Canis lupus familiaris: one gene and its partner. The protein of the gene in region 1 purifies or fractionates together with the protein of each later gene. This does not show direct contact. Links are inferred from orthologs where the notes say so. Each region holds a gene or a part of one and is shown on either strand. Other genes may lie near its edges.

The links.
Region 2: the proteins of ECT2 (region 1) and KIF23 purify together in Homo sapiens (co-immunoprecipitation; 3 studies listed by BioGRID and IntAct, with this or other methods). This does not show direct contact. The link is inferred for Canis lupus familiaris from reciprocal best matches to the Homo sapiens genes ECT2 and KIF23.

The regions. Positions count from the first base shown.
Region 1 is NC_049255.1:37,149,855-37,161,448, forward strand, and holds part of ECT2 (protein ECT2), read left to right. Parts: intron 1-735; coding exon 736-815; intron 816-918; coding exon 919-1,011; intron 1,012-2,948; coding exon 2,949-3,131; intron 3,132-4,438; coding exon 4,439-4,528; intron 4,529-5,262; coding exon 5,263-5,370; intron 5,371-6,325; coding exon 6,326-6,399; intron 6,400-7,093; coding exon 7,094-7,224; intron 7,225-7,362; coding exon 7,363-7,478; intron 7,479-7,968; coding exon 7,969-8,031; intron 8,032-9,343; coding exon 9,344-9,566; intron 9,567-11,594. UniProt on the Homo sapiens protein: Guanine nucleotide exchange factor (GEF) that catalyzes the exchange of GDP for GTP. Promotes guanine nucleotide exchange on the Rho family members of small GTPases, like RHOA, RHOC, RAC1 and CDC42.
Region 2 is NC_049251.1:33,738,338-33,750,468, forward strand, and holds the start of KIF23 (kinesin-like protein KIF23), read left to right. Parts: upstream 1-6,558; 5' UTR 6,559-6,600; coding exon 6,601-6,611; intron 6,612-8,542; coding exon 8,543-8,612; intron 8,613-9,692; coding exon 9,693-9,821; intron 9,822-12,131.

The DNA of each region.
Region 1 (11,594 bases):
GGCTTCCATAATTTGACTATTGTAAATAATGCTGCTATAAACATAGGGGAGCCTGTATCCCTTTGAATTAATGTTCTTGTATTCTTTGGGTAAATATCCAGTAGTGTGATTGCTGGGTCATAAGGTAACTTTTTGAGGAACCTCCATCCTGTTCTCCAGGGTGGCCACACCAGTTTGCATTCCCACCAACAGTGCACAAGAGCTACTTTTTCTCCCCATCCTTGCCAACACCTGTTGTTTCTTGTGTTTTTGACTTTAGCCATTTATACTATGTAGATTTTTGATTACTATTTGGATCAATGCTTTCCACCTTGGAAGGAGAAAGCATCTTATTGTTGAATATTGCTTCTTCCTTGTATGAGGGCAGTCTAGCTGCAACACTGTTAGAATTTATTCAATTATGACTGGTTAGGTGAAGAGCCACTTCTTCCCTTAACTGCTTTATAAATGGGTCTCCTGAAGTTGCATGCGCTTGAAGAGGATAGCTGTGCAAGAGAGTAAATTTTTTTTTTTGATAAGAGGAGTGCTGATGTTTGTATACTCTGCTGCAATTTGTTTTCTCTTTCTCTAAAGTGATTTTAAAAAATAAACAGAATTAAGTCGTTTTAATTTTAGAGAATATTATGATCTCAAAGATGGAAATACATGCCAGATTTAGCCAAAAGAGGGATTAAGAACTGTTAATTTTGATGTTAGTACCTGATAAACATATTTAAATATTTTTATTTTTAATAGAAGAAATGCCTCAAATCGAAACCAGAATGATATTGGTTCAAGACGCTGGAAAACAAGAAGAACTTATAAAAGCTTTAAAGGTATGGAATTTTAGTTTTTTAAGGGAAAGACTATTTTTCTTCCATCAATATTTAAGTAATTTTATAGTTTTCTTTATCTTATACTTAAGTCTCTTTTCCACAGACCATTAAAATAATGGAAGTCCCTGTTATAAAGATAAGAGAAAGTTGTCCTGGAAAGTCGGATGAAAAATTAATAAAAAGTATTGTTAATATGGTAGGTCAAGCATTTCATTGCATGTGGCATGCTGCACTACTCTTGATTATATTCTTAAATTCCACTTAATGGTAATGGACCTAAATTAGGCACAAGGTATATTTTGCACTCTGAAGCTAGATGAATAGAATCATTTATATTTATTTTAAAAATATGAGTATTTCTGAAACCTCAAACTATAGTATATATTGTATGAATTCTTTACACAGTAACTTGGCATTGTTAAATTTAAATGGCACACATATTCACAAATATATGGTGTTTTTCTTACCTTAACTCTTAGCATTTTTTTCCCCATTAATTTTATGTTTATTCCAAATTCTTGCTCTATTTCCAAAATTATAAATTGCTGGGGCACCTGGGTGGCTCAGTTAAGTGTTCAACTCTTGTTTTTGGCTTGGGTCATAGTCTTGAGGTGGTGGGATAGAGCCCCATGTTGGGCTGCAGGCTTTGTGTGGAGTTTGCTTGAGATTCTCTCCCTCTCCCCCGGCTCTTCCTCTTGCTCATGCACATGTGCTCTTTCTCTCTTTCAAATAAAATAAATAAAATCTTAAAAAAATATATATAAATCACAATAACTTGAGAGTCATCAGGGAATTCGTTTCTGCATATGAAATATATTCTGTATACCAGCTGTAGTAGTTTGTGAGAGCTGCTGTAATAAAATACTGAGACTGGGTGGCTTAAACAACAGAAATGTATTTTTCAAAGTTCGGGAAGCTAGAAGTCCCAAGATCAAGATGTTGAAAGGTTTGGTTTCTCTTGAGGCCTCTCTCCTTGGCTTGCAGATGGTTGCCACCTTTCTATGACTTCACATGGCCCTTTTGGGCATGCACATCCCTGATAACTCTGTGTCCTTGACTTTCTTCTTTCTATAAGTACAGCAATTTGATCAGATTAGGGCCCACCTACATGACCTCATTGAACAAAATTACCTCTTAAAGGGCCCTGTTTTCAAGTATAGTCTGATTTTGAGGTACAGGGGCGGGGGTTAGGGCTTCAGTGTGAATTTCAAGGACATACAATTCAGCTCATCACATCAGCCTAGCAAATAAAGCCCAAAACAATTTACTGACCAATTCAGAATTTTCTTTTAAAATAGTTCCGTTCCTTTTGAACAGGAGTCATACAGGTACCTTAATATCTTTATTTTTTATCTTAGATGTACATTATAAAATATTAAACATAAAGCCTTTTTATATCCTACATTTTGTCACACAGCAACTGCCTGCTTATTTCATATCTCTTATTTCCCTCATATATACTGAAATGGTTAAGTTAACCTATACCCTTTTTGTAGATACTAAGTGGCATAGTATTTTTTCTATTTCTATTAATCATTCTGAAGATGATTTATGAACAAAGAACTGTTAAGTATGGCATCATTTTCTTAGAATAAAAAGTAATAGTGGAGGGATGCCTGGCTAGCCCAGTGTTTGAGCCTCTGCCTTTGGCTCAGGGCGTGACCCCAGAGTCCTGGGGTCCGGTACTTCATTGGGCTCCCTGCAGGGAGCCTCCTTCTCCCTCTGCCTGTGTCTCTGCCCCTCTCTCTGTGTGTCTTGTGAATAAATAAATCTTTAAAAAAAATAATACTGGATATCTTTCTAATGCATCCTACTATCAAAATATGTACATATAAAAATCATTTAAATTTTATATGTGTATTAGATTTATAATGACTTAAGTCATGTTAAAAATTTATAATATTAATATTCAGAATTTAATATCAATATGGATGGATATATGTATCTATAAAAATACAAATAAGTAAATAAGGCTGTTTGCTATTAAGTATAATGCTCATTGTGTGATTTACAAGTTTACTACACCTCTAAAAATAAAAATATTGATAGTGAATTGATTTTAGGTTTAGAGTTATATAAATTAATTTTGTAATTATAAATTTTTATTTCTCATACCACCTGAAAAAAATCAAGGAAATTAAAGTGCCCTTTGTAAAGATGGAATCACTAGAAGAATTTGAAGGCTTGGATTCTCCAGAATTTGAAAATGTGTTCATAGTCACGGACTTCCAGGATTCTGTTTTTAATGAGTTACACAAGATGGATCATAGAATTGTTGGACCACCAGTTATCTTAAACTGTGCCCAAAAAGGAGAGGTAAGAAAATATACATTTATTATGACTTTCAAGGTTAAATTTTTATTAATGAATTTTGTGAAAATTCTTTACCAGAAAAATCCTGTTAATTGTTAGGAGTATGTAATAGTTAGAATAAGGTTAGTAATTGTTATTCTAAGATAGTTTTTAAAATCTTTCTATTGTAACTCATAGGACTAAAAATCTTAAGACGTTTAATAATGACAATCATATATTTGTGTGTATATATGCACATATATGTCTTAATACCTTCTGGGGGAGAGAATTTCTTAAAACTTGGGTTCCAGCAATGTATACACGTATATAAACTTATTTTCTTCCATAGAATGTATATACATTTCCATTTTTATTTGTTACTTCATGGTTTAAACATATTTTTTAACCATTCTTTTTCCATTATGTATATATCTCCCTTGGTTAAATTATTACTGTTTCCATTTTTATAGCTCAAAAATTGGAATCATATTTGGTTCAAGTATATGTGTAATTTACATAGTGTTCATTATAAAATATTTCAAACTGTTGTAACTTTAATTTGGAAACATTTACAATACTGTATAGAGTCTGAAATTTTCCTAGTAGGTAAAACTTTGTGTCAAAGTATATTTTAGAACTGAAAGTTTGTGTATAAATATGTTTAAATTGCCAGTAGTAAGGTGTGTTTAGATTATGTGTGCCAAATATCAATTGGGAATTATGAGGGGTTTTTGTATTGTAAACTTTGTAATATGTTTTTTGCTATTTTTTTAAGCTTTTTTTTTTATTGGTATTCACTTCAGAAACTTGAATCCACAGATATAAGCAGTATATTACCAGAAAGTTACAAGTAAACACAGATTATACATGCAAATTTCTGTTCACAAAGGTCACATGTGCACTGTATTCTAGTAGTCAATGTATTTTCAGTGAAATGTAAAAATATTCCCGTTCTCTTTGAGCAGTATTAATTTCTTGAGATCTTATTGCTTGTCACTTGAATCCTGTAGCTGTCATACATCTGGTATAAGCAACATTTGATTTTTGAATTGTGTAGACCATCTCTTCATATTTCAAGATGTAATTTTACATTTCTGCATTTTAAAAAGTTTGGCCATAACCTAGACACACGCTTCTAATTCATATACCTGCACATGTGATCTTTGTGAACAGAAATTTGCATGTATAATCTGTGTTGTATCTTGAAAAACACAAGAAATCTTGGATTAACAAAGTTGATTGGCAAGAGGGGGAAGTACGTCTTAGCTTGAGAAATATGTGTTCTATTCTCTAAAGAAAGCTCACAGATTTAAAATTGTTATATCCTTCAGCCTTTGCCTTTTTCATGTCGCCCACTCTATTGTACGAGCATGATGAATCTAGTACTATGCTTTACTGGATTTAGAAAAAAAGAAGAACTAGTAAGTATTTTAAAACCTTCTATTCAAGGAATAATTTTTTTCCAGCCAAATAAATTTAAATTGATATTTTGTTTGGTTAATTATATCATGGTTTTATTTAAAACATATTGAAGGAGAATTTATGAATGTGCTATTTTAAATTTTATGAAGAAACATTCTGAAGAGCATTTTAAAGAAACATTTAGTTTAGGATGGCAGGCATATGAATTAATAGAAAGACCTTATTACTATCTGATCTGCTTAAATTGTCTTTGTGCTAAGTACCACTGAGCATATTATTTGAAGTTTTTGTTAACACATTACAATTTTTGGTTATACAAGTCCAGCCTTAATGTATATTCATTGCCCTAGAGAATTCATAGAAACTTATTTGATTCATAAAATTTTTTGTGTTGGAGCTATTAGGGTATTACTGTAATTTGTGGGAAGAATCTAGGTGTGATATAACCTAGTGTTAAAAAACAATCTTTTTGGATGTATGAAAGCCAGTTTAATTTCATTAAGTTTTGTGCAGTCATCTCTACTACCTTATCTCTATGTATAATTTTGCCTGTGCCAATAAGGCAAATGAATCTTTAATTTTTTTTTGACATAAAATTCATATCTTAATAAAAATTATTGTATGTACCTTATAAATAAAAATTATTCAGTAGATGCTAAATGACTTCTAAACATAATTTAAAATTTTGTTCAAGTTAATTATAAAGTTAATGTTGCCTAATTTTTCTTTTGAGGTCAGATTGGTGACATTGGTTCATCACATGGGTGGAGTTATTCGAAAAGACTTTAATTCAAAAGTTACACATTTGGTGGCAAATTGTACACAAGGAGAAAAATTCAGGGTATGTAAATTTGAGTATTTCACTATAGCATTTTTTGGGGGGGGGATAGATTTAATAACAGCACTTTCATACTATTTCTCTCAGAGTTTACTGAGAATCAGAAATTCAATTTTTGCTAAGTACATTTAGTAAAAATTTTAAATCCTAGGAGTGTGGTCTTTTAGGTTTTAAGGAAGCAATGAAACCTGAGTTAGGTCTTGAAATAAGTAGGATTTGCGAATGAGTAGGATTGTGGAGGTTGGTAGATGGGTAACGTTTCAGGCAGATAATTAATATCAGCAAAGGTTACTATTAAGTGTTGGTGAATAAGGGGATTGGGAAGTGTGCAGTTATTTCACTCTTGCCTAAATGGTCTTAAGAACTGAGCTATCTTCTTATAAAATGGCTCTAAGGTTTAACTAGTGAGAACTATGAAAGAGCAGGAAAAACTACTTTTATTAGAATTAAAATCTTAGTTTAAGATTGCTCTTGAATATCGTAGGAAGAGCTTATCACCTTGTTCCCACCCTCCATCAGAGTATTTATGTAAAAAATGGTAATTTGGGGGAATGTTGAATTCCTGAGAGGTATACTTTTCAATTCATATCTTAGTTTCTTGTGACTTAATCAGGTATTTTGTTCTGTATTCCTATCTTGGGGGTCAGTACTTCTAAAGGAGTAAACACGGAGAAAAGAGAAATAGAAGTATAGTAAAATAAAGATGAACTTTTAACTTCAGAGTTGTATTTATTTAAAATAAGGAAATGATTTGGATATCATGGAACTTGTTCTAAATTATTTTAACCTAACTTGTATGATTGAAAGACAGTTTTTCTGTTAATGTTTCTTTATTTTGTCATAAAGCAGATGAATAATGATTTAAAACTTCAAAAAATATGTATAAAATTGTTTAGAAATTCCATGAATGCAGTTATTTAAGGTGCAAATTTATTGTGATTAACTTTTATGTTTTTAGATTGCTGTGAGCCTGGGCACTCCAATTATGAAGTCAGAGTGGATTTACAAAGCCTGGGAAAGGCGGAATGAACAGTAAGTGTTTAGAAAATCAGTAGTTCATGATTTGAATTAAATGTTATGAAGGTAAACTCATGTGCCCAAAACCCTAAATTCATAAAGAGTATAGACAGAATGAATTCAGTCTTTGGGTAGCCTAATGAATAAAGTCTAGGAGGAACAAAGTTATAAAAACATAAAAAATTGAAAGACATATGTGGTTATCTTCAGACTTTACCTTGTGGGATAATTTTGATTATCATTAACATTCTAAAACTCTTAGGTAATAGCTTAATGAATCTGGATATATGGGTTGTGTTATATTTTTTTCACTCTGTTTGGTTACATTCTAAGTGGTGATTGCAACTCAATACCTTGTTAAGCTTTCCAACCTCATAATTCGTTGCTATTCTGCTGCATCATTACTTAATATTTCATAAAGCTGTAGAACCCCTGGAATAGATAGAAAATTTCACGTCCAGAGCAAGGATTTGAATCTTTTAAAGACTACTTGTGATCAAATTTTATCAGAATTTACTCCCGGATGACTGAGGACACATCCAATTTTTTTTTTTTAACTGATGTTTTTATGAACATTTCAGGACCACACGTAAAATATTTTCAATAAATAGATTATACTAAAACTTACAGAATTATTATAGATGTATAAATTGATATACTTTCTGAATTTAAGTTAAGCTGGTTTTAGAAGAGTATATTTTATTTTTAGGGATTTCTCTGCATCAGTTGATGACTTTAAAAATGAATTTAAAGTACCTCCATTTCAAGATTGCATTTTAAGTTTCTTGGGATTTTCAGATGAAGAAAAAACGAATATGGAGGAAATGACTAAAATGCAAGGTAGAATTTACTATAATTTAAAAAGTTCATATTTTTTTTCCCCACTCTTGGTTAATTACCTCCTGGTGAATCTACCTCTTTAAAAATTCAGGTTTGGAGATAAATAGTTTGACTTATGCTTGTGTGCATTTCTTTTAGGAGGTAACTGTTTACCTGTTGGAGATGAAAGATGCACTCACCTTGTAGTTGAAGAGAATATAGTAAAAGAACTTCCATTTGAACCTTCAAAGAAACTTTATGTTGTCAAACAGGAGGCAAGTAATTCTAGAATAAGATTGGCTTTTGTTTTAGAGTTTTATTTTTATTTTATTTTTTTATTTTAAGTAGGCTTCACACTCAGTGTGGGGCTTGAACTCACTATACCAAAATTAAGCATTTCATGCTGAGTTTCAACTCAAAATCATGAGTTTCACTCATGACTGACTGAGTCAGCTAGGAGCCCCAAGATTGGGTTTTTAAAAATATTACTAATGGCTTCTCTGATAAGATAGATTCTTTTTTTTTTTGAGATTTTATTTATTTATTTGAGAGAGAGAAAGAAAGAAAGAGAGAGAGAGAGCATGAGCAGGGGAGAGGCAGAGGGAGAAGCAGACTCCCCACTGAGCAGGAAGCCTGACATGGGGCTCGATCCCAGGACCCTGAGATCATGACCTGAGCCGAAGGCAGATGCTTAACCAGCTGAGCCACACAGGTGCCCCTGATAAGATAAATTCTTAATTAAAAAGTTTTTCTTCTCTCACCTAGTGGTTCTGGGGAAGCATTCAAATGGATGCTCGAGCTGGAGAAACTATGTATTTATATGAAAAGGTATGTATTTTTGTCCCTTAGTCATTCTGTGATTTTGATTGTATAAAGATAACACTTCTATCTGAAAAGAATATTATATAATTGGCATGTCTAAGAGTTTGTGAATAATTGAACAATTAGATATTGAAGAAGTTTGTGTAGATTTAAGCAAAACTCTATTCAGTGCAGTAGAATTATTTTAATCTACCATATGTCATTTTGTGCTACTACTTAGTGATACCATTATGAACAATAACATTCCTATCTTTAGAAACTTAGAACCTTAAGGGAAAGATAGATATACAAACAGTTACAGTGCTGAATATGTGCTATAGTTGAGTTATTATTTTAACTAACCTCACTCTGAGAGACTCAGGCAGGACTGAAAAGAGCAAACACATGTTGAACCAACTGATTAGGCTAATCTTGCAAGGACATTCAAGTTAGACAGCAGGTGGGAGATGATGTGAAGATTGAAAGTACCTTGAAATAGCAAGTGGTTCAGTATGGGTCTTGAAAGGAGTGTGGGAAAGAAGTCCAACAAATAAAGCTTACAATTTAGGTAGAATCCAGTAGTTTTTAAAATGTTAAGGAATTTGGGTAGTATTGGGAACCATTGAAGTATATTAAGGAGAGAGATGTCATTGGAAAAATAACTCTAGTAGTAGATTGTAGGCAAGGAAGGATGCACCTGTCACGCTAGATTGGGGAAGAGTGTATCATTTACAAAAATGTGGCATAAAGGTATAGAAGTAGGCTTTAAGGGAAGATTTTCTTTAGTGGGAGATTTAATTTGAACGAAATATTGAAGATTGAGGTACAGATTTATTGTATTACTATGAAATCTAGATAGGTTCTATATTGTCTTCTGACTCTTGTTCTCAGTGTAGAATTCTTGACCATAAAGTTTAAAAACTGCTTTAAATTCTAGCAGAGAGCTTTTAAAGTCAAGTATTACTTGGCAAATACTGGAGAGCAATCTGTCCAGGCACTGTGCTAAATGCTAAGGATACAGTGAACGAACTGTGAATGGTCCCTGCTCTCCAGAGTTAATGGCCTAACGGGACTAGACAGTAAAGAAGCTTACAGATGAATATGTAATGGTGATAGAGCTGAGAAGAAACAGAATGAGGTGCTTGGGATTAGGCAATTACAGTAGTCCCTTGTCTATTATGTTTTATGAATCTTCTGAATTTCCTGGCAGAGTGTATAGTTGTAAAATCATTGTGCAAAATCCAGATTTTTGTCAGACTTGTAAATATAGTTTTCTTCTGTTCCTGTCTCAGTGTAGAACCAAGGAAGTAAAATTGAGCTTTTGTGCTTTTGATTGCAGGCTAATACTCCTGAGCTCAAGAAATCAGTGTCACTGCTTTCTCTAAATACCCCAAACAGCAATCGCAAAAGACGTCGTTTAAAAGAGACACTGGCTCAGCTTTCCAGAGAGACCGACATGTCACCTTTTCCTCCCCGTAAGCGCCCATCAGCTGAACATTCCCTTTCTATAGGATCACTTCTAGATATCTCCAACACACCAGAGTCTAGCATTAACTATGGAGGTAATTCACATTAAAAAAAATTGATCATTAAAATTTAGTGGAATGCAATAATTGTTAGAATATAGATAAATCACTACTATAGTTAATATGAAAGGTTCTACCTTTTATTATACTTTTGTTCCAGCTGAGGAGAAAAGGCACATAAAAATGCTTCCATTTAATGATTGTTTACTATATGCTAAGTGCTTTCTATATTTTATTTGTATATCACTCTAGAAAACGATAGAGCTATTCAAAGAACAAATTCTTAACACCAGCAAAACAAGATTAGAGTGTCGCATGAATTGTGGAGAGAATAGGTATGATGAAATCAGCAGAGGCTGAGCTAAGTTCTCAAATGATATAGGGAGGCCCTGCAACTAACTCTTCTCTCTTGATCATCAATTTTTCCCTCTACTTTGGTTTTATGATCTACACACAAATATGTCTTGTTTTTTAGTTTTAAGAAACAGTCAAAACGTCCCCTTGACCTCCTGACACTCTCTATTTTCTACTCCATTTCTTTCTTTCCTTTTGCATGAGTATTCCTCAAAGAGTTAACAGTGATCTGTTGTGTCAGTTCCTTGGTTTTCATTGTCTTCTCAACCCATTCCAATTGAACCTTAGTCCCTGCTGCATGAAATTGCTCTTGCTGAGATGACTTTTTTTTTTTTTTTTTTTAAGATTTTATTTGAGAGAAGAGAGTATGAGCAGGGGGAGTAGCAGAGGGAAAGAGAGAGAGAAGCACTCTCTTCTGAGCAGGGAGCCTGACCTGAGGCTTGATCTAGGGCCGTGAGATCATGACCTGAGCTAAAGGAAGACACTTAATAGACTGAGCCACCCATGCATCCAAGATGGACAGGTTTTATGTAGTCCGCAGCATTTAATGCATGAACAGCTGCTATATGCTCCTCCAACTGAGTCAGCCAGCTGCCCCCATTTTTGCCTTTCTACATGCAGCACTTAGGTCTCTAAAATACATATAAATTAGCTCATGCCCTCCTGTGCTTGAAGTCATTCAGTGGCTTTCCATTACCGTAGCTTTTGAGTTCCTATGTGATCCTTTCTCACCTACCTCCAAACTTCTATGGTGATGTGCTCTTCTATAATACTTGAAGCTTCAGTCACACTTATCTTTGTTATTCTTTGGATATTTCCTCTACATTCATACCTCAGGAACTTTATACTTTACCTCTTTGCCTTAAAAGAAATCTTCCTGGGTTTCTGCAAAGTTAAGTCCCTGTTCCAGTACTTCTCACTAATCCATTAACCTGGTGGTTGTCTTCAGTAGTAGTTATCACTGTTAGAAATTAATATTTTTTATTTGCTTCACCAGAGTGTAATCTTTAAGAGAACAAAAACCTTGTCTAATCCTTTGCTTTGTTCTCAGTTCCTAGTACAGAGTAGATACTCCCTAAATACTCATGGAAGGAGTTGAGTGTCAATTTATAATAGGCCCAGAAAACTGAAGTGGAGTTGAGAAATGAGAGGGGCAAGAATACAAATAATAGTATACAAATTCAGATTTTAGGGAATAGTGAATAGGTGAGTTTGCCTAGAGTATGGGAGAGTAATAGTTAAATTGAAAAGTTAATTGTGGCCTGATATTAGAGGACTTTGAAATCAGACTGGTATGTCTAAACTGCATATTGTCATCAACAAGGAATTTTAGAAACTATTGAGCAGTGGAGTAATTGGTTGAGTAGGTAATTTTTAGTGGATTATTCTGAAGATGATTAAATGGATGATTAAAAGAAAGACAAGTTAGAGATGCCCAGACCATGAAGTAATCCACAGTGGCTTGGGCCACAAGGTGATAAAGCCCTGAACCAGGATTGCTAATAGAGTAAGAAGGATTGTGGAGAGACTGATGGAATAGAGTGACAGGAAGGGAATAAGAGATTAAAATAGAAGACATGTTACCATGTCTGCAAAAATCGAAGTCTGTATTTTAGAGGAGGACAGTGCAGTTTTAGAGAATATCCAGGTTAAACTGAAGTACAGATGTCTAGTAGGTATCTGGAAAAATTGAGGTTGGTACTTGAGTGG
Region 2 (12,131 bases), on another chromosome or scaffold:
TACAAGTTAAAATTTGATAACAGTTTCCAGTGTACAGGTTGGAAGCTTCTAGATGTTTGACTGAGAATGGGTTCAAATATATTAATCACCATTAGGTATTAAGTGTAATATGGGTATAGTTTTGGTTAAGCCATCCCAGAAAGTCAAAAAGGCTGGCAGTGGGTGAGCTGAAGACCTCACCAGGAAGATGTCTTTTCATGTAGCAGCTCTCAGCGTTTTTTGAGTGTCTCAATACAACCTGGAGATGTGTCATACTCCCATTAGTAGCAACTGCTCACCATGGCACTGCCTCAGAAGGGATTGTGGGGGGCGGGGAGGCCACAAACTCCCCATGGGATGTCCCTCTTCTTCCTCTCCTTGCTTGAGAAGCACTGCTCCAAGATTTCCCAGACGCCACAGTTGTGGTGACACTTGAATGGGTCTGGATGAGGCCGTGTGGTCCACTTCCTCGTCCTCTGCTCATCTTAGAATTTCGGTTTCCACTGGTCAGTTTTTAGAGAGAAACGAATTTGTCCCTGTGGATTAGAATGAGAGGTGGGAGGCTTTAGAAACCACCTGAGTACAAAGTGATCTAAATAGCTGGTCTGCAGCAGTCTTTCTTGGAGTGCTTGATGTGGAACCCAGCTTACCTGAGAGGTAAGGTGAGGTGGAGGAGACCGGTGTGGTCACAAGTGTTGGCGAGACGCTTCATTTGGCTCTGTTGTGTCCCAGATGTGTTTTGGCCACGGCTCTATATGAAACACCTGTTAACCCAGTATGACAGCACTTTATAACATACTAGTTGATAATGCCAGTCTCTGATTTTCTAGCCAACAATCCATCATGGACGAAAAAGCAAAGACCCATTTCCAAACTCAGATGTTCTTCCAATCTAACTAATGTCTAGTTTTCTTAAACTGTGTGGGAGAAAAAAAAATAAAATTTATTATAATAAAGGCCTGTTTCCCACTTGATTTGGTCATGTTTCCCCCTATCACACTGCAGACATGTTCATTATCATAAGAAATAGATTCCTGTACACGAGTGTGTTGCTAAATCATTCTGTGAATATTTATTTTGTACCCGATATGTATAGAATGAACACCGTTTTAGGAACTGGGGATAAGAGAAGTGAGGAAAACCCACCCTGTCCTCCTGCGTGGAGCCAATGTGCTGATTGTCAGTAGGAAAAGACAGATCAATTCAGATAGTAGTGAGTCCTATAAAGGAAACAGGCCTAGTGGAGAAATGGAAATGGGAAGGACACGGCAGGTGAGATTGGACAGCCACTCTGAGAAGCTGACATTTGAGGAGAGCCTTGATAGGCAAAAAAGGGCCTGCTTGGCGAGCATGTTGCTGGGCAGGTGTTTCAGGTTGAGGTGGCATATGTGCAAAGGCCCCATGACCAGTAGGCAGTTGTCCTGTTGGAAGGATGGAAATCAAGCCACTAATTCCTGAAATGTATATAACTCTAGAAAATGTATGGATCACTTGACTTTTGAGAATTCTGGAATTTCTCCCGAGAGTGCTTTCTGGGAGATTGTGCAGGGGCTGTCTTTCCTCTGACCTCGTGGTACTTGTATGGGTACATGTAATATATGTATTTCAGACAAAGAGAGAATTGCCACAGCCCTTATCTTCACTCGGGGCAACAGATTTCTAAAATTGGCTTAATTCTTGCCTCCTTCAGAGCATGGAACAAGGAATTTAATCCAGCCTTTCAAAAATGTGTTTGATGATGCAAAATGTACATTGTCAGACCCAAATGGACAGATGCGGCATACCTTGGGAGGAGAAGGTCCTGGAGTTTTAAATTTTCATCAAAAGTCCCAAGTGATTTTTAATGGAGTTTAAGAAACATGAGTCTAGTCCAACCATTTTTTTTTTTCATATTTGGGAAAATGTTGCTAAATAGTATGAAGTATTCCCAGGTACTGGGGTGTCTGGCTGGAGCACTTTTCATCCTTCCCCCTTTTGATGTTTACATAACTCTTCTCCAGCAGTGAGAAAGGTGGCTCCCATTATCCACAATGTATTATTCGCTCAATCTTAGAATGTACAGAATGTCATTTCAGAATTACCAACCCATGTCTGCAAAAAGGCTTACTAATTAGAATTCAATAAATGTTTCAAGTTCTTTTTGTCTTGAGCCTTGAGGGCATATGGTCTCAATAGTCTAAATTACTTGGGTTAGTTATGGCCCTTTTATGTGGGTTATTCATTTGAAATATGGTTCAGAGCATTTGTTTCTTTTTGTATCAATTTTACAGCCTCTCCCCCCCCTTCCCAAGCTTGCTATTTTATTGTTTTTTGAGTATGTAAAACATTAACATACAGTCATTCATTTTCAAATGGCCTGGGGAGGGTCACATGGCCTGTAGATGTGAGACAGTGCTACCACTGCCAGCAAGTGAACAGCAGGGCCAGGGACAGAGCTCCCAGAGTGGTGAGTGTTGAGTGTGTTTGAAGTGCCACAGGCATCCTGTCTTCATTTTACCACCTTCCCTCAAATGCTCTGGGCTTTGGCAGCTTTCTGGTCACTCGTGGTTATGAGTCCCACAGCTGGACTTGCATAGCTGAGTGTTCTGAGTTAATTATGGTTTGCATCCCCTGATGTGTCAGCCTCTCCCCTGTGATTTGCATAGGACCCTCCCAGTCCAGTTTGGCAGTTTCTTATAAAGTCAAATTCATACTTATAATAAAGACCAGCAATCCCACCCAAGAGAAATGAAAATCCCTATCCACTTAAAGACCTTTATGCAAAGAATTATAATTGGGGTACCTGGGTGGTTCAGTGGTTGAGCTCTGCCTTTGGCTCAGGTAGTGATCCCAGGGTCCTGGGATCCAGTCCTGCATCTCCCTCTGCCTATGTCTCTGCCTCTCTCTGTGTCTCCCATGAATAAATAAATAAAATCTTTTTTAAAAAGTATACCATAATTGCCAAAAGGTGGAAACAACTTAAATGTCCATCAGCTAGTGTGGATAAACTGTCATGCATTATACAAAGGATTACCACTCAGCAGTAAGAAGGGACCATGTTACTGATATGTGCAACACACACTTAAATATCAAAAGTATCTTGCTCAGTGAAAGAAGAGACCTTCTGGAAAAGTTAAAACTCTAAGGAAGTCAGAAAAGTGGTTGCCACAGGCTGGGGGTAGAGGAAAGTGATAGACCCCAAAGGGGCAGCACAGAGAAAGCTTTGGAGTGGTGGGAGGATTATACATCCTATAGTGGCAGTGGTTACAGGCCGCTGTGTTTGTCGAATACTAACACGGTACAACCGAAAAGGGTGGATTTTACTGGACATAAATTATACCTCCATAGCCTGACTTTAATAGAAGCCTCTCAGTTATACTACCTTCCTGTCTCCTACCATTATCCGTGGTCTGGATATCTAATTCTAGGGGAAAGTGCAAATCTTTTTTTTTTTTTTTTTTAAGATTTTATTTATTCATGAGAGACACACACACACACACAGAGAGAGAGAGATTGGGGCAGAGACACACAGGCAGAGGGAGAAGCAGGCTCCATGCAGGGAGCCTGATGTGGGACTCGATCGATCCCGGGACTCCAGGATCAGGCCCTGGGCCAAAGGCAGGCACCAAACTGCTGAGCCACCCAGGGATCCCTGAAAGTGCAAATCTTTTACTGGCTTTGGGGAACCCTTTGGGGGAAGAGATAATGTGTTAGGTATGAAATGCCTGTTTCTTTTCTTTTCCCTTTTTTATTTTATTTTTTATTATTACTATTTTTTAATTTTATTTTTTAAGAGAATATGCCAGAGGGGCGCCTAGCTGCCTCAGTCAGTCTTTGCTTCAGGTCATGATCCTGGGGTCTTGAGATGGAGCCCCACATCAGGGTCCTTGCTTGGCAGGGGAGCCTGCTTCTCCCTCTCCCTCTGCCTGCCGCTCCCCCTGCTTGCACGTGCTCTCTCGCTCTCAAATAAATAAAAATAAAAATAAAATAAAGAGAATAAGCCAGAGAGCTTTAGTATGATTAGAAGCGAGGAAGAAAAAACTGGCCAGAAGAGCTGGGGGCTCCATGTAACTGGATCCTCAGCTGGATTGGATGCATCGATTCCTTCCAAACAAGAGCCTCCGTTGCTGGGTGCCAGGGTGCAACAGCACCACCTAGTGAGGCTGTGGAGATGAGCTGGTAGCGGGCACAGAAAGGAACAGTGGTGACCAATCTGAACAAAGCAACAGGTGCTGGGAAGGTGCAGGGGACCGGGGTGGATGGGGGGTGGGGTGGGGAGGGTGGTATAGAGTAGGGGCCCAGCATCCAGTGCCAGGTCATTGACAGATCTGCTGAGAACTGAGAGTAAGGAGGCATTGTCAGAGGAAGGCAGGGAGGAGAGCTTGCCAGCAGAGGGACTGCTCCATGAGCCTGGGGCACGGAGAGGTAATGTGGTTGGAGGGGTGCTGGGGGCCATGACAAGTGATGGGCTTGGAGAGGAAGAGCCTCAGAGCCCTGTGGAGGGCGTCTAGCCATGGGGAGCTACTGCAGTGTTAGAAGCAGGGGAGTGACATGACCAGATCTGTGGTTTATGAGTAGGTTCGGAGGGTAGCAGCAGGGAAGCCTGTTGGATTCCTATTGCAGTCATCCATACTGCAAGATGCTGAGTAGCCAAGGGGATGGAGAGAAATGGATTGAGAGGTTTGAAGGCTATTTAATAGGTAGAACTTTCAAGATGTGGTGAGTGGATGGTTGGAAAAGAAAGAGAGGCAAAAGTCCAAGATGGTACCTGGGACCCTAGGCTTGGGTGGCTTGGGTAGATGGTGATACCATCCACTGTGGGGTAGCAGGTTCAGGGGAAGCAATTAGGGTGCGGTAGGTATGAGGTGCCTGTGGGACACCCACACGGAGAATCCAGAAGGCAATTGGACATATAGGTCTGAAGTGGACAAGGACAAATTTGAATGGTATGTGAAGCGAGGAGAGTGACTGGGGGTGCCTGAGGAGAGGCCTCAGCTAGTGACCAGGTCAAAACCCTAAGCTACAACATTTAAGGGACAAAATACAAAACAACACACACACACACAACCCCCCCCCCCGCAAAAAAAAAAAAAAAAAAAAAAAAAAAACCTCACAAATGAGTTCTGAGAAAGAGGGGCTTAGGGAGCTTAGGAGGAAAAAAAGCTGAAGGCATAGGAAAAGAGGAATCAGTATTTTTTGTGCTGTTGAGAGGTCAAGTAAGGTAGGGTGGGGGGTGATGGTCTTGGTGAGAAGAGTTCCAAAGGAGAGACCAAGGCTACCTGCAGGGTAAAAGAGGTAAGTAGCCAGCAGCTACACCCAGTTCCTAAATAACACAAATCCCAACCTGCCATTTAACAACAAACTTCTGATGGTTCAAAGGCCTATACATAAAAAAAAAAAAACAAACGAACAAACAAACACACGCAAAAAAACCATAAAAGCATCAGGAAAGACCATCCTTGTGTGTAACAATATGGGCCAGGGATATTAAATTATGTCCATTTCACCGGTGTCCAGCGAGGAGATGGGCCTAGAGCCCCGTGAGAACACAGATGTAGACACAGATTTGAGAGCGATGGGCCAAAGTGGGGTAGAATCTGTCCATTTTAGGAAAGAGCTGCTCTGGCCATTGCTCTTCAAGGGCAAGGCCCAAACTCCATCCGTTCATCTCTGTATGTGGCCACACAAAAATTCAGCGGGGTCATTGAAAAGATCAACTTGGCTTGACTCGCGAATCGGGGGGCATCCCATCCAGCAAGCAGAGAGGTGCTCCCAGGACCCTAAGTGGAAGGGTCTTCATAGGAGGGAGGGTGGGGCCAGGGAGGGGTCAGTGACACAAGAGAAAGGACCTGGGGTGGAAGGCGGTGGTGGGGGGGGGGTCCTACTCTGGGCATCATCTCCTCTTCCTCTTCCTTTGGTGCGGGCGGGGAGAGGAGGGGTCCCCGTGACAGGTGCCCTCATGGGTGCCCTGGCTGACCCGTTCTGACCACGCTTCTGGGGGAGGGGGGGCTGGGGCTCCATCTTGGGCGTGGGGTTTCCTTTATCACAGCGCCGGGGATCAGGCATTGGATGGAACAGCGCGTGTCTGCGGAAGGGCCGGGGGCAGCGGCGAGGGAGATCCGGGGAGGGTGGAGGCACAGGGCGAGCCCGCGTGCGGGGCGGGGTGGAGGCCAGGTAGGGGGCCCGCGGTGCAGGGCTCGGCTCCCGGGCGGGAACGCTGCGGGCTGGGGGGTCCCCCGAGGCCCTGCCCTTCCAGCCGGCTTCCTGTGCCGCAGGGAAAAACCCCGCAGCCGCCCGGCGGGGAACGTGGGAGGGGGGGCGGGGTCTCAGCGCCTCCGAGGTCCGCCCCGCAGCAGCACCTCCCGCCCGCGCCCGGCGGTCGCCTAGGAGACCAGCCCCGCTTCCGGCAGAGCCGGCACGTCCTCCGAGGCCACGCCCCTTTCCTCCGAGGCCACGCCCCTTTCCCCGCGGGCGGGCGCTGATTGGCCCGTTTGAAATGCGCCGCGCGCGAGCTCACCTGGGCTCCCGGAGCGCCGCGCCTGGGCCGCCGGGTCCCGCTTCCCGCGGTCCGCCGCCCCCGCCGCCCCCGCCGCCCCCGCCGCCGCCGCCCCCGCCGCCCCGCAGAGCCCGGCGCCCGCCGCCATGAAGCCAGCGTGAGTACCGGCCGCGTCCCCTCGGTCTGCACCGGCCGCCGGCCCCGGAGGGGGAGCCCCCCGCGTGGGCGCGGCGCCCGGGCCGCGGCGGCCCCTCCCCGGGGGCTCTGTGCCGGGTGGGGCCCCGCGACGGGGGCGCCGCGGAGGTGCGGGCGCGGGGGCGGGGGCGGGGGCGCGGGGGGCCCTGGCGCCCTCCAGGTCGAGGCAGGCCGAGCCCCGGGAGCGCGCCGGGCGCCGGGCCGCGTGACAGCCCCGCCCCGCAGGCCCCGCAGGCCCGCAGGCCGCGGCCCCACCGCCCGGGAAGCAGCGCCCGCTGCGGCAGAGCAGCTGGTTATCCTAGGGGCCCGAGTAAAGACCTTCTAGCTTAAAAAAAATATATATATATACACACATATATATATATTATATATATACACACACACATATATATACACACACGTATATGTATACATGTATATATGTATATATATGGGATATGTATATATACATATATATGTGTATGTATATATATTGAGTTTATGTATAATATACATGTATATATGTATGTGTATATATATTGAGTTTATATAGAGTATATATGTATTATTTATGTATATATGTATATGTATATATGGGATATATATATGCATATATGTGTATATGTATATATATGGGATATGTATGTGTCTATATATGTGTATGTGTATATATACATACTGAGTTTATATATATTGAGTTTATGTATAATATGTATATATACACATATGTATATATGGGATATGTATGTATATATACATGTATGTGTATGTGTACATATATATTGAGTTTACATATGTATAATATATGTACATGTATGTATGTGTATATATATTGAGTTTATATAGAGTATATATATGTATTGTATATGCATATATGGGATATGTATATGCATATATATGTATATGTGTATATATAGGGGATATGTATGTATATATACATATATATGTGTATGTGTATATATATTGAGTTTATATATATCGAGCTTATGTATAATACATATATGTATATATGGGATATGTATATGCATATATATGTAAATATGTATATATGGGATATGTATATATACATATATATGTGTATGTGCATATGTATATATATATTGAGTTTAGGAGACCCACTATAATATTTTGTATTGGAAACGCTAATTGGCTTGCTTGTTTGGTCTCGAAACGTGTCGTGAAAATACTTGATTTTCTATGCAGTCTCTGCGGCGCTTAATTTTACTGTTAAATGTTCATCTGCACTATTGATTTCTTAACCGGTCGGGGCTGGCGGTGTGGAGGAAAGCCGACAGCCTGATTGATGAAGCCCCAAAATAGCTTCTGATTGTAAGAGGGCAAGAAATGGCAGTGGGAAGACCCAGTTGTGTTCGAGGACAAAGGATGATGGCTTAGAGAACTCCGATAATTTGTTCCTTGAATGTGTAGATGTACATCTTGCTGAAAGAATGGATTTCTTTTTTTTTTTTTAATCATTTCGTGAAGTTGATCACCTGTCAGCCTGCCTTAGCGATGGATGTTGGGGCAGTGTGTGCGCTGGTGTGCCTGTAGGTCTTGAGGATAAACCAGGTCTCAGTTATCTATGGATTTTTCGAATCTGTAGTGCTTCTGTAAAATTGTCGTCCAAGAAAATATGCAAGCTAGTTTAAATATAGAAAATTATCTAGTACCGAAGACGTCTCCTGAACCCAATTTGCCATACTTTTGCATTAGGTGAGCCACATACATTCTTTTTTTTTTCCCCCACAAACATTCTTCTAATGCAGCTTATTTTTAACGTTATTTGGGGTGTCATGTTTTAGAACTGCTCAGGGATAACTTTATAAACCCAAGGAAGACTGTCTCTGAATTATAGGTGAGGTTTTTGTATGTTATTTTGAACTGATTTTTTTTTTTTTTTTAACCTGTGACCAGGAGGACTAAGACGCCCAGGAAACTTCTAGTGAAGAAAGGATCCCAAACAAGTCTTAAAGACCCAGTGGGGGTAAGGTCTCCCTGTGAATTTGTGTGTGTGTGTGTGTGTGTTTTCTTCTGTCCTCTTCTGTCTTCTGTGTATGCTTGGAAGGGATGGAGCTGTGGAAGCAGAGTCAGAGAACATTAGTTAAATGGGTAAGTCTGGTCCCAGCTTTAAAGTTTTGTTTCTATATAGGATTCATTAGTAAAATGAAGTGTTTGGGTATGTCAGTTGCATAACTCCTATAACTAACTATAACTTGAAAAGTTAGATAATGAAAGATATTCTTCAGCTGTCCCGGAGAATTCTTCTACTCTCTTGGAAGGCAGGGAAATTTCTGCTTGGATGAGCATCCTCTCCCATCTTTGGGGCTTTTAAATAGTGACTGATGGTATGCTCCGTAAAGACACTGGTGTAGAACAGCTTAATTCAGTCTAGTAACTCATCATAACTGCATGTACTTCATGAGTTTCAGGCTTTGGGACTTTCTTTTAAAGACAAATGGCAAATAAAAGAAGGTTGTTTTGCCCTGGGATATTTTTCTCTCTCCTTCACTGGCACCAGAATGTGTCTCTTGTTCTAGGTGGGGGGAAACTGATGCTTTGCATTTTCAGCTGAATAGTTCTTCCTCGACCCTATCACTGATTAAGAAGATGTGTTTCAGATGATGTGCTTACTCATTTGTATATTATACTTATTTGTATATATGTTACATTTGTTGGTATATAGTGTTAAGCTGTCAAGTTTTATTTGATATCCAATATCAACAAATTCTAACAGCTTTTCAGATAATTCTCATTGTGTGATATGTTATCAATTTTAGAGATTTTTATATTAGTGGTAATATAAATTTACTCAATTTGTGCCAGTATAATAGTGATTTGATGCTTTTGTCATCCAAATTTATTTTCATTGTAAGTGTATTTAAAGCTCCTCATACCTGATAGATCTGTTTATAGCTGACAATGTCTGGTAGCAAGTTTTGGTTTTCATAGCTCTAAGTTCATATAAATCTCTTATGCTGAGAGACCAAATGTTGGATGAGTGAATGAGAAGCTTAAATGCAAAGTAGTCAACCTTCATTCTGGAAGCACATTCCTGTAATTTCAGGTGTACTGTAGGGTGCGCCCACTGAGCCTTCCTGATCAAGAGTGCTGCATAGAAGTGATCAATAATACAACCGTTCAGCTTCATACTCCTGAGGGTTACAGGCTCAACCGAAATGGAGATTATAAGGAGGTAATTCCCATTGGAACCAAGCTGTTTTTACTTGAGATGTTCTCTCCTGAAATGGCTTTTCCATTTTTTTTTTAACATTTAACACAATTCACATTTCTACTTTTTTTTGAAAAATTTGTTTACTTCCCTCTAACCTCTATATATAAAGTGTGGATAGGCTTATGTTTGGTATTCTTTGAGTTAGGGGATTGCTTATATGAGGCAGTTTCTTGTACTGGATATTTATTGTTTTTTAGAGCATAGGTTTGGGATCTTGAATGATTGTGCTAGGTCGCTATACATACAGACACACACACAATTTCATGTGCAGATTAAAATAGCAATAGGCGTTTTGTATTTGTTTTGACCTCCTTTGAAGTGTTGTTTAATAAAATCTTGAGCAAAGTGAGTTTAGTTCAGTTCAAACATTGCACTAAAGCTGCAGGGCAGAAGGAGATTTTCAAAAACGAGTAGGACACAATCCTTGCCTTTATGGGGCTTTCAGCTGAGTTGGGGGCACCAGATAGAAAGGGTAACCTTTATATAGATAAAATAAATCAGTGTGCTGAAAGAGCTGGACTATGGGAGTGCAGAAGGAAGCATGGATTCAGGCTGTTGTCTCTCTGTTGAGCTGCCTTTCACCCTCATGCACCCTGCTCCTGTGAGACTGTCAGAAGCCCACAGTGGCCTCTGGATTGCTCACATTGGATGGACACCTCTTGTCATAATCCATTTGTCAGCAGGACCATCCTTCCTGAAGCCCTCTTCCGTCTCCCCATCCAGGTCTCTATGTTCTCAGCTGTAACTGGCCACCCTCTTCAGGTTCTTCTTCCTTTTCTAACCTCTCAGTGCTGGGGTTGGCTACACCTAGGGCTCTTTTCTCTACCCTTTCCCATGGCTTTAAATGTTGCTTATAGTTCTGGAGGTTTTTTTTTTTTTTTGTTTTGTTTTTTTTTTTAAATTTTAATCTCCAGCCTAAACCTTATGTCTGCTCTAAGCTGGAACATCCACTGTTTGCATGTCATGTAAGCATCTCAAATTTTATGTGTCCACAAGAACTCTTGATTTTTTTCCCCCTCTAAATCATTTCCTCATTTCCTCTCAATAAATGGTAGTACCGTGCGTCTCCTGCTTGTATCCCATTGACCAGTACATTCTGTAAGTTCTGCTCCAATGTGAAACTGTCCTTCTGTTTCTATCTTCACAGCCCTTGTCCCTGTCTTAGCCCTGCTGTTAATCACCAAGACTAGTGCTTCTCAAATGATCTGTGGTGGAGGAACAGCTTTTTAAATTTTTCAGTGCATTGTGATTGGATACTTTTGTGCAGCTTTGCCATCTGAATTAGACCATGGAGAAGTGATTTTGTAATCTGTTCAATGAGACGAGCCTGTTGATCACATGCTGGGATGTTGCAGCCATGTCAAATGGCTAGAAAAGTTTCTAAACTTCAATTTCTTTAATTCTCTCCTCCTAGACAGGAAACAAACCAGTTCTCAGAGGGGCACTGATTTGCTGACCATACTTTGAAATATAACTGGACTGCCTGTTTCCACTCTGAATCTTATTCTCCAATCCATTTTCCACAAAGCCACCAAAGAGAGCTTTTAAAGTATAAATCTGGGCAGCCCCGGTGGCATAGCGGTTTAGCGCTGCCTGCAGCCTGGGCTGTGATCCTGGAGACCTGGGATCGAGTCCCACATCAGGCTCCCTGCATGGAGCCTGCTTCTCCCTCTGCCTGTGTCTCTGCCTCTCTCTCTCTGTCTCTGAATAAATAAAGAAATAAATCTTAATAAATAAATAAATAAAGTATAAATCTGATCTGACCCTTTTCCTGTTTAAAATTTTCAAGGCATAGTCGTTAAGTGAGCAAAATCCTGCTTAATTTGCTCTATTTCTCTACTGTCAACTCGTCCTAGTCATCCAGTCCTGAGTTCCTTGGATAAGCCCAAATCCTGTTTCAGTGCGGTCCTCTTGGCATGGACTTTTTCTTTCTTTTGGCTCTTAGCATGAATGGCTCCTCATTTGTGGATTTCAGCTTAAACATCTCCTCCTCAGAGAGAATGTCCAGACCACCTTATCAGAAGTGGCACCCTTCCCCGCTTCTGTCCCAGTCTGCCCTTTATGTGCTTCCTTGATAGCACTTAGCACATCAAGAGTTTTATTTTCTCTCTCCCCTGCTATAGTGTAAGCTTCAGGGGGATGTGTGCCTTCTCTGTCCTGTTCCCCGTTCAGTGAATATTCAGTGGACGAAGGATGAACATTCTGGGACAGCTTCATGAGGAGTGGGCCTTCAAAGATGTCAAATAACTGAGAACTGACTTGCTGTGAAGA